Yarrowia lipolytica: one gene and its partners. The protein of the gene in region 2 interacts with the protein of the main gene of each other region in a pairwise test. Links are inferred from orthologs where the notes say so. Each region holds a gene or a part of one and is shown on either strand. Other genes may lie near its edges. The genes, in order: YALI1_F02697g, YALI1_E19201g and YALI1_B24292g.

Region 1 (3,758 bases), on a different chromosome or scaffold from region 2:
GGCTGTGGGACGGCCTCGAGGATCAGGAGTCAGCATCCAAGACACCAATGAATCCAGAATACCGAGATCCTGGGTGAGGAACAAAGGAGCCCAGTCGGGGGCCGCAGAGCTTCGCCTAATCACTGGGGGATGCATGTTTGTCGAGCTGGAAGTGTTGCCCGTGCTGGCTCCACCGTTTCCAGCAGTGCCAGACCTGGAAGAACCGGTGCTTACACCGCTAGAAGAGGTGGTGTTAGCCGTGGTGCAGCTTCGGAGAGAAGACGAGTGGATACCGTGGTGGTCAAACGGAGGCATGCACGATGGACTCAGCACTCCCCCATCCTCCTCGTACGACTTGCTCCCGCACTCAATCGCGTCTCGTTCTTGGCCCTGGGAAGAAGTAGGCTCTCCAAACTGATGATCAAATCCAGCCAGGTCGCCAGAAGAGAGCCGACCAGCATCGGTCAAGTCGCCAGACCGTAGCTTCTGCCAGTGGATGCCGTTATCGGGCAAAACCACGTTGGCAGCAATCTCCAGAATAATCAGACCAAACGAAAAGATATCCGCAGGCTTGTCGTACTCCTGTCGACTCAGCACCTCGGGAGCGATGTACTCCCGGTCTCCCTCCCGCTCGATTCCCCGAGCTGCTGGCCATGTTGTTGCCATTCCAAAATCGCCAATCTTGAGAGTGCCCTCAAAAGTGATGAACACGTTGGCTGGCTTGATGTCCAGATGCATAAAGCCCTCGTTGTGGATGTACCGGATACCGAGGGCAAGTTCCACGAGAATCTTCCACACTCGCCAGTCGTCCAGACGCGCGATTCGGCCGTTTTCAGCCAGAAAAACATCCAGACTGCCGTTTTCGCAGTACTCAGTCATGATGAACAGGAATCCATGGTACTCCCACGAGTCGACAAGCTGGACAATGAAATCGCGCCCGTCTTCGTCACGTTTCGACTCGGTCAGCTTACGAAGAACTTCGACCTCCTCCATTCGTCGAGCACGAGCCTTGGGGCCGGCAAAGGGGTACTTCATCTTCTTCACAGCGTAACGGTTGGGCGGCGTGAGGATGACCGAGGAACCCGCAGGCATCTTAACGCGCTCGGTGACCGTGTAAACGGATGAAAACTCGCCAGATCCAATCAGAGAGACGCTGTCAAACTTTTGACTAAGCCACGACTCGCCAGCAATCATGTTCTCAGCAGATTGGTCCTGGGAAGACCGTTTGGCCGGTGTCCGGGGATCTGCAAAGGTAGGATCACTGGAGAAGTTGGGCGAGTTAAAGGGATTGTCTCCATTTCCAAGAGGGGTCTCTGGTTCCATGATGGACGAGGCCTGACGAGTGATAGTCCCAGGGGTAATGGTGATCTGCGACCCATCTGACCGCTGGTGACTTGCCTTGGCCAGAGAAGACAAGGATGTCAAAGAACCAATGTAAGACGCTCGTCTGTAGGGTCCCAGATTCGTGCTGCTGTTATTGCTGCTGCTGCCGTTGCTGTCATCATGGTTGTTAGTAGTGAGAGTTCGCTGGACGGATGGAAACGACTCACTCTCCTCCAGGGGCTTCGTAGGCGTGGAGGGAACGTCGTCCATGAACGAGGAGACTGCCGAACGCAGGTCGAATGCAAAGCGTGATGCTGAATCACGCAGCCCGCTTGGAGGGCCTGAGGGGATATTCTGGTGGCCGGTGGTGTTGATTGTGAGGGGCACTCTGTGAGCTCTACCGGAGGACGCAGACCTGTGACTGCTTCCGAGCATGCTGACACCCTCGTGGGAGACACTGCTGGTGAAGGGCCGGGGTGTGTTTCCGTCTCCTCTGAGTCCGTGCACGTCCTGCAAGCTCGAACTGCCGCTGGGTTTCTTGCAGGGCGTATCTGGAGGCACGAGAGAGTGGCCAGAAGATGAGTTGGGCAGGTTGCGCGTTCGTTTCGAAAGCAAGCCCGTGCTCATGAACGCAGTCTGCAGCGGTTTGACGAACCGGAACGAGTCTGGAGTGCCGTACTCCTTGTGTTCCACGTCAGCTATCTTTGTTTTGACGAGAGGATGCAAATGGGGTTGAGGATGATGAGGGTGCGGGTGCGAGTGGTGGGGGTGATGCGTTGGTGTTGGTGGCGATGATTCGACCGACGACGACATGAGATGGATCGTGGGCGGGTTATCTGACAATCGTCGTTCTCCTCCTCCTCCAGGAGGCACATTCTCTTGCTGGATGGCGGCCTTTTTGAATGGAGGCGCCTTGACCGGCGAATTGGGGTCAGAATCATGGAGTATCATCGAGTGGCGCGGTCGGTGGCTCCTGCTGGGGCTGCTGTCCATGTTGATATCTTCGAGCGACAGGTTGGACGCCTCTTCGAGGTTGTAGAGGCCCTTGGAGCGTCTTAGGGGCTGCATGGTTGACGAGTACACCGTGGGGGGCTCCGAGGCGCGCTGCTTGCTGGGACTGGGGCACGGCGAGAGGTCTGGCGGTAGGTCGTCGAGATTTGCCACCGTGTTGTTGCGGTGGATGGAGAGGTTGATAAGGGCGTCTGACGCTGAGTCGTCAAGCGACAGCGACGGTGACAGCTGTGGCGTGTTGGGCTTACTCTTTTTGAGCTTCACCTTGGACAGCGACGGTATGGAGGAGCGTGCCACCGAGTCGGGGCGGTGTTTGCGCCGGCGAGGCGACGGGGAGGCCGAGGGGGTGGCCGAGCTCATGTACATGTGAGTATGGGTATGTCGTGTTGACGCGTCGATCACGGTGTGAGTGTTGTAGTTTGGCGGTAGTTGTAATTCCGGTCAGGTTGTGTCGTCTGTTTCTTGTCGTGTCGTCTGTCTCGTCCTTGTGTATCGCGTCTGGTGGCGTTTTTCCCCCAAAAAAAATTAGTTGATGCGATTGTGGGTGAGGAATGTAGAAAAAGGAGCGTGTGCAAAGAAATGCAAAACTTTTCTGGAGGTCCAGTCGTGTCACAAACGCAGACCTGTTGCTCGGTCGGTCCTGCTGCTTTGCGTGTGACGTGTCGTGTGGGTGGCGCGAACGGTAGGTGAGCACTTGGGGGGTGCCTCTGGGGTTTGGAGACGCGAACAATGGTGGTGTTGGGTTGGGGGAGATTGGGACGGGTCTGTCTCCAGAGATGATGTGCGGAGCGGTGCGTCACTCCCAAAGTCTATGCATGGCCCAGGGTAGCGGTCTGATGGGGGCAAACAAACAGGCGCATGCGTCCATCACCCTCAGAGCGCGAAACCTAGAAGCCTATCCGAGCGAGCACACACACACACATCAAAACAGAAGGTGTGGGGGCTCGTCGGTTCTGAAGATGGGTGTAAGACAGTGAAGCCGGACGGACAGCCCAGAAGCAACCCGGAGGTGAATATTATGGGAGATAATTATGGTTCCATTCTGGCGGGCTTGTTTCTGCCCGGGCCACCATTGCCCAGTGCACGGTGGTAAACGCGTGTAGAGTTGGGAGAGTTCCGTAGGTACAGTAAGTTGAGGAAGAGGTGAATCTGTGAACGGGTCCAAGTGGAAGGAAGAACCGCACTTGTAGAGACATCGACGGAATGAAGGAAAAAGAAAGAGGAATTTACTCGTCAGATGTTCTCCCTACGGCTCGTTCTCCACCGTCAACACATGTCAAACTCGTCCTATTTGTACCGCCAATTTCATCGCTGTATTTGAACACTGGCCTTATTATTACGTATTGTCATTCAGGGGTCTTGGCACCCATTGTACTTTTTTCAATCAGACGCGTTCCAAAACTGCGCTATGAGTACAATACGATACAATAGTATGCATCAAGATA
Region 2 (3,758 bases):
CGTCTCGTCGAGCACGAGAACACACATGCCCCTGAACACGCCCTTCTCCAAAGGCCGGGTCTTAGCCGAACAGCATGAGAACGATCTGAAAAGATCTGAATGACTCGGCGTTGATCTCATTCAACCACAGTATCTGGCTGAGAAGGAGGTCCGGGAGACGAAGAAGCGAGACAATGACTACTAAAAGTTGTTCGTGGCATGGAGATCCACACTTCCACAGAACACGAGTACTCGTAGGTATCGCACTCTTAGTGTACCACTACACGACCATTCCATTACGTGATTCATTATTAATCCATACATACTGTTCCATGCATATAACTGTGGTATCTGTTAGCGTGGGATGCCATTCTAGTGTGTCCGATAGCTGTTCTGGGTGAGAGGGGGGTTAATGACAAAGTGATCTGATCGGGTCATGTGATTGGGTCATTTGAATGGGTCATGTGACCAAGTCATCTCAGTGGATAAATCATGCAGTCATCTAAATACCGCCAAATCTCTACGACCTCTTGGTTCTGGAGACCTTTCTCACGCCGGTCTCGCCACTGACTTGTCGCACCGATGCCTGGCGCCGGGATGCGCTCCGAACCCTCAATGGTGACTTTTTCATGTCGTTCTCCTGGTCGAAGTCCAGCTGTTTGGAGGGCGACCGCAGCTGCTGCTGGTGCGAGGGTCGTCGGGAGGGCGAATGAGAGGCCGTGACAATCAGCGAGCCCTCTACGTCCTCGCAGACTGACACAGACACGGACCGCGACGGCTGACGCGACGGCATTTGTCTGCTGCTGACCACTCGTCGCGCCGAGGCGATCGAGCCTTCTCGTTCCTCGTCCGAGTTGTAGACGGTGTCATGGGAAGTGGAAATGTACCGTTTGGGACGGATGGCGGAAATGCCTACACTTCCAGATCGATGGGCCGGACTGGGGGAGTTTTTGCGGGGCTGTCCGGGAGTAGGGGCCGGCAGAATCGAGTTGCAATGGTCCATGTCTCCGAGAATTGATCGTTCGGGTGTTTTTGGCGGGGGGGTTGACGGCAGAATGGAGTCATGGGTTACTGCGGAGGCTCCCAGAGAGCCCAATTGTTCCTCCTTGCGCCGGATCTGGTCCTGGAGAGCGCTCAATTGTTGTCTCAATTTGCACTGTTGGTCGGCAATGGGCACCAGGGGTCGCAGGTTGGCCAGCTTGTAGCTGGGGGTATCGCTGACGACCATGGTTCGTTTCCAGTCTCTGAACTCGTTCTGGTGGAGGTAGAGCCAGTGTTGTTGGGGGCCCACCACCATTCCTGGCCGCAGAAACCGCATGTAGGCAATACATTCGGCGGCGGTGAAGCCGTAGGAGTAGATGAGATGGGCGCCAATCAGACACCCCGTGCGGCCCAGGCCGGCCTTGCAATGAACGGCGATCTTGCCGCCCTGTTCGATGATGCATTCAGCCGCGCCAACAAACTTTTTGACCATGTCCATGGTGGGCACGGTGCCATCGTCGAAGATCATGTCCACGTGCTTGATTCCGCGTTGCTCGAACTGACGAGCGTCGTACAGAATCGAGTTGAGACGCACCACCAGCTGCACGTTGTGGGTCTCAAAGTAGTCGAGCACGTTGTTGAAGGCGTGGTCCAGCGGGGTGAGAAAGTCCTCCTGCTGCGGTGACGCAAACGCAATGTAATGAGGAGGCAGCTCGTTGAAGTCGCCCTGGTCCACTTTTTCATACTGCTCGTACTCGTCGAGATTGAAGTGGCGCAGGTCCAAAAAGCCCTTTTCCTTGGCCCGCCAGCACCCGTAGACCACGTCCTGGATGGTGAGAATGAAGTCAGCAGTCGAGTAGCCGGCGTCGCGGAACGGCATGAACGGAGGCTCCGCCTGTGCAATCGGTGCCAATGCCAAATGAGGAGGCCACGACTGGATCAACACCATGTAACAACACAGAAGACAGGCGGCATTGGCTCGGTATCGGGGATCAGGATACGAGTAGAACATGACCGCCTTGTCCTCGTTCTCCGCCAGAATCTCGTGAAGAGCAACCGCAAATCGGTACAGATGACCGGCATTCAGAGGCCCGAAATCCAGATGAAACGGGTTGTAGGGAAGAGCATCGTCGACCGTGAAGTAGACGGTCGTCTCGGTGTCCTTGGGGGTGTGCGCATATGCTCCGAGATAGACCCGGTCCTTGAGGAACTCGATTGGTTCCACTTTTTTCATCGTAGTGTGGAGTGGAGGAATGAAGGTGGTGAAGGTGTTGTAGTTGGGGTGACCTAGATGGTGTAATGGTGACACTGGCAATGTAGTGGTGACACTGGCAATGTGGTGGGGACGACAAGGACAAGGTGATGGGCACGCACAAAAATGTAATGGTGCAAACGTTCGCTTCTATCGCACAAACAACTCCACAGACTCTGCTCAAGAAGATCTCAAAAACATCTACACATATACTTGTTAGTGAACTGATAAGGTTCGGGCTTGTTTATGTTTGGGACGAGCCGTATTGGGAAGCCCTAACCCTATAAATAAAACTGTGGGTCTGTGGGACGATTGACTGGATATTTTTCGATTCTGAAAAGTGCATTTTGTAGCATGAAATGAGTGAATTACAATGGTAGTTTTATATTAATAATAATCCCAACACAGCGTCAATAAAATGTGATTGAAATTTGAAACTACACAAACACATTTAGACCCAAACTATATTTTGTATAAATACAAACAGTGTCAAGATCAAAAAAAAATCAGGAGGTTGATGACAAAGCCCAAATGGGGGCTTGATCACTCAACTTAGTCATCGTATCAAGGGAGTATGTTCAATTACGTAACGCCGTCTTACTAACTCCCTTTCCAGCAGACCAATTGACTGTCTGGAAATCCAACTCGTCTTAATCACACTCGTGTTATGGTTATGACCATTATGGTTCCCCGTTGAACGCTATGTACCGAGACATGGGCCCGTTGCTAGGTGGATCCGGTGTTGAGTAAGCGCTTAGCAGTGAGCGGGAGAGCAGGGTCACGTGATAGATATAAAACCCGTGAGTAAATTCTTTAGTTACATAACTCCCACCCCTCTCGCGTCCTGTGACTAATCATTTCAGTCGCTCATTACCTCTGCCACACAGACAGCCTGCCTCGCATTGTTTGTTTTGACCCCTATTTACAATTATACATGGTCCAAACAGTGCAAACAGTGCAACGGGGGGTCTCCAGAATGCTGACTAAGGACGACAACACAATTTCAAAGACTGATTCAGAGTCAGCTGAATAAGGCAAAAATAATGACATTCTATTTCAAACAGTTTTCAAATTGTCCAATTTTCCCCTCGAAATTTCGACCTTTATTATTTAAAGTTCATTACACATGATCAATGCATCTAAGACGCAGTAGAGATGGGGGAGCAGTGGGTGATGGTGGGGGTCACGTGACCAGCCAGTCAGTCACGTGAGATACAGGAAGAAGCGGTGAAGGGGGTGGTCATGTGACTGGTCACACTTAAATTACGTCATCTAAGGAGAAGGACGCGCACACAACTCGTATGGTTGAAGGGTGCCGGGGAGCTTTTTCTGTTTTTTTTTTTTGTTTGGTCATGTGATCAGTCACGTGAGACAAAAACAGGTGCTGCTCTCCACACATGTGATTCTGCAGTACCCTTGTCAGTGCCGCTTAGTAAGTCTCGTCACTTAGTAGTCACTCCGCTGAGTAAGCATCTTTGCTTAATAAGCTACGTCGCTTACTAGACGCACATTGCTTAATAAGCCACCATCTGAGCCTCGTGCACTA
Region 3 (2,905 bases), on a different chromosome or scaffold from region 2:
GCGTGTCTCCCAGCTTTTCCAGGTTTAAATACCCTTTCCAGACTTGTTTGAGCTCAGACATGTTTTGTGGTGAGAGTATATGTGATTAATAGTGAGGTTTCAAAACTTTGGCTGCATTGGTGGGCTGTAATGGGGTTTCTGAGGGTGCTGTGAGGGGTGTTGACCGTGTCTGATATTGGATGGACGATTTTGAGTTGTATGCATGGTGAAGATTTTGGGTTATTGGTATGGGGAGGAAGTGGGCGAGGTTTGAAGATGTTGCGAAAGCCTGAGAAGAATGAAAATTTGATGACCATGGCTCTGGCGTACCATAAGGATTTAGTGAAGTTTCTAGCCTGTTTGGTAGCTTCAATAGCTCATGGTGAATCTCTTATCATGACGTCTCTATAACTTTGTAGGGAATAAGGTGACAGCCGCCACTGGGTTGATGGGTCTGAGGACAGTAGCACAGCGAGCTTCAACAGACTTACCAGGCAGTTATATGGATGTTTCAGTATACCATTCTGCTAAAAATGAACAGCTGAACATCATTGTATTGTATTTTTTCTCTGTGACTCTATATTTGGTGGAATCCCCTTCTATAAAGCGGATCGGGGGTCTTAAAGAAGTGGCCACATTTGTACTGGTAAGCAGGAGCCTTTATAGCTGTATTGTAACATCTACCTGACTTATGTGCGGCGAGTCAACGTTCTTCCTATCATACTATACAGTACCAGCTCTGAGCCATATGTCTGAAAAATGAAAAACAACCCCGAAAACCTTGAATAAGTCGTCAAGTAATGGGTCCCGATTGTCCAAGTAACCAAGCCACATTTAAAGAAGCTCAGAAGTGCATACGACTGTAGTCAGATCTATTTTGGGATATTTATTAGTAAGCATTAGCAAACCTAAGCCAACATTAATAGGCAGTCTAGAGAAGTTACATCTGATGCCAATGACCATCAGCTTCACCAAACGTCTGTGTTTTGAGGTGCCGCTCGTACGGAACAGGGACACGACTCTCCAACATCTCTCGATAATTTGACTCTTAACCCCAACAGTCACTATCTGCGGCTGAACCCTAAGTGAAATAACGGGGTATAATATAGCACTCTGTGGACGACGTAGACGAGGAACATACGAGGAAACGTGGCGATGGATTCTCCTCATCTTCGTGAATCTTTTAATACCCTAACCTCCCACACACCTCTCCCACAACCTCCTCCTTTTATGAGACCCTCTGACCACTCCTCCCAACGATAGAGTTTGGGTGCATGATAGTGATAAAAAAAACACCCCTTGGCCAGAGTCATCCATCTGCTCAAACAGACACAGAAAGACCCGACATCCAACATGAGCATGGAACCGCGATCGAAAAACCCGTACTCGGTTGCGCGGGTATTTGCGGACGTCAACGCCAAAATGCCCCAGCAGTACTGGGACTACGATAACCTCACGATAACCTGGGGCAACATTGACAACTACGAAATCTACCGCAAAATCGGCCGGGGCAAGTACTCGGAGGCATTTCAGGGCGTTTGTGTGGTCAACAAGCAGCAGTGTGTCATCAAGGTGTTGAAGCCCGTGAAAAAGAAGAAGATTAAGCGAGAAATCAAGATTCTACAGAACGTGGCGGCTGGCCCTAACATTGTGTCTCTTCTGGACGTGGTGCGTGATCCAGTCAACAAAACTCCCTCTCTCATCTTTGAGTACGTGGAGAATGTCGACTTCCGACAGGTGTTCCCCAAGTTCAAGGACTACGACATCCGATACTACATCTACCAGGTGCTGGTGGCCCTGGAGTACTCCCACTCCAAGGGAATCATGCACAGAGACGTTAAGCCCCATAACATCATGTACGACCCTCGACGGGGCAAGGTGCGACTCATCGACTGGGGTCTGGCCGAGTTCTATCACTCGGGCACCTATTATAACGTCCGAGTGGCGTCTCGATGCTACAAGGGCCCCGAGCTGCTATACGACCTGCAACAGTACGACTATTCGCTGGATCTGTGGTCGCTGGGCTGCACTCTGGCCGGCATCATCTTCCGAAAGGACCCCTTTTTCCACGGCTCGTCCAACCAGAACCAGCTGGTGGAGATTGCCAAGGTGCTGGGTACGTCGGACATGTACAAGTGTCTGACCAAGTACGGCCTCAAGCTGCCCGACATTTACAACGACATTCTCGGCACATACCCCCGACAGCCGTGGGAGAAGTTTGTCACCAGTGCCACCCAGGCCATCGCTAACCCCACTGCCATTGACTTTCTGGACAAGATTCTGAGATACGACCATCAGGAGAGACTGACGGCCCGGGAGGCCATGGACCACGAGTACTTTGACCCGGTCAGGGACGACTTGCGAAGTATTAATGCTCAGTAGAGAGGGTAATGGGGAGGAGATCGGACGTGTACACAACACCCAAGTTTAACTGCATTGTATTCTAATGGCATGTATGATATGAGTAATGACAAGAGAATGAGCCCCTACAGTAGTAATCGAGTTAAGATAAGCATAAATAATAATATCTCAGTTGACCTTTCACCATGCTTGTATATACTGTAGATGCTGAGTCACCTCCAAGAAGCTTCGGAGTTACGATATTGTAGCTTTATCCTCGAGTACGAGAGGCACATACACGAGATATCGCGTTCTACGCTATGATCAACTGCTGAAATCTAACAATTTACAGGTATTCAGCAAAATCCCCAGCCCTAATATTCTCAAATTGACTTCCGAGATGTTTTCTTTTTACCTCGCACTGTCTCATCAGTCTGCCTAATCCAAGGCTTATATGGCGTAAGCGAAAGTCTAAGGTGGAAAAAAATAGAGTACAATTGGTGAGAAAAGGAATGTCGAAGGGGAAATATTAATGACAGACTTGGGACTGTCAACATTTGTTGTTTTTGCAGTGTATGTGCTATGT

Evidence for each region.
Region 1: the proteins of YALI1_E19201g (region 2) and YALI1_F02697g interact in binary tests that used the Saccharomyces cerevisiae proteins (3 or more experiments, as listed by UniProt). The link is inferred for Yarrowia lipolytica from reciprocal best matches to the Saccharomyces cerevisiae genes CDC14 and SWE1.
Region 3: the proteins of YALI1_E19201g (region 2) and YALI1_B24292g interact in binary tests that used the Saccharomyces cerevisiae proteins (3 or more experiments, as listed by UniProt). The link is inferred for Yarrowia lipolytica from reciprocal best matches to the Saccharomyces cerevisiae genes CDC14 and CKA2.

The regions. Positions count from the first base shown.
Region 1 is NC_090775.1:267,049-270,806, forward strand, and holds the start of YALI1_F02697g (uncharacterized protein), read right to left. Parts: upstream 2,680-3,758; coding exon 1-2,679. Other genes in the region: YALI1_F02701g (uncharacterized protein), read right to left, coding at 2,712-3,112, 3,166-3,181. UniProt on the Saccharomyces cerevisiae protein: Protein kinase that acts as a negative regulator of entry into mitosis (G2 to M transition) by phosphorylating and inhibiting the mitosis-promoting cyclin B-bound CDC28 at 'Tyr-19'.
Region 2 is NC_090774.1:1,918,581-1,922,338, reverse strand, and holds YALI1_E19201g (uncharacterized protein), read right to left. Parts: upstream 2,195-3,758; coding exon 500-2,194; downstream 1-499. UniProt on the Saccharomyces cerevisiae protein: Protein phosphatase which antagonizes mitotic cyclin-dependent kinase CDC28, the inactivation of which is essential for exit from mitosis. To access its substrates, is released from nucleolar sequestration during mitosis.
Region 3 is NC_090771.1:2,427,921-2,430,825, forward strand, and holds YALI1_B24292g (uncharacterized protein), read left to right. Parts: upstream 1-1,332; coding exon 1,333-2,361; downstream 2,362-2,905. Other genes in the region: YALI1_B24280g (uncharacterized protein), read right to left, coding at 1-61. UniProt on the Saccharomyces cerevisiae protein: Catalytic subunit of a constitutively active serine/threonine-protein kinase complex that phosphorylates a large number of substrates containing acidic residues C-terminal to the phosphorylated serine or threonine.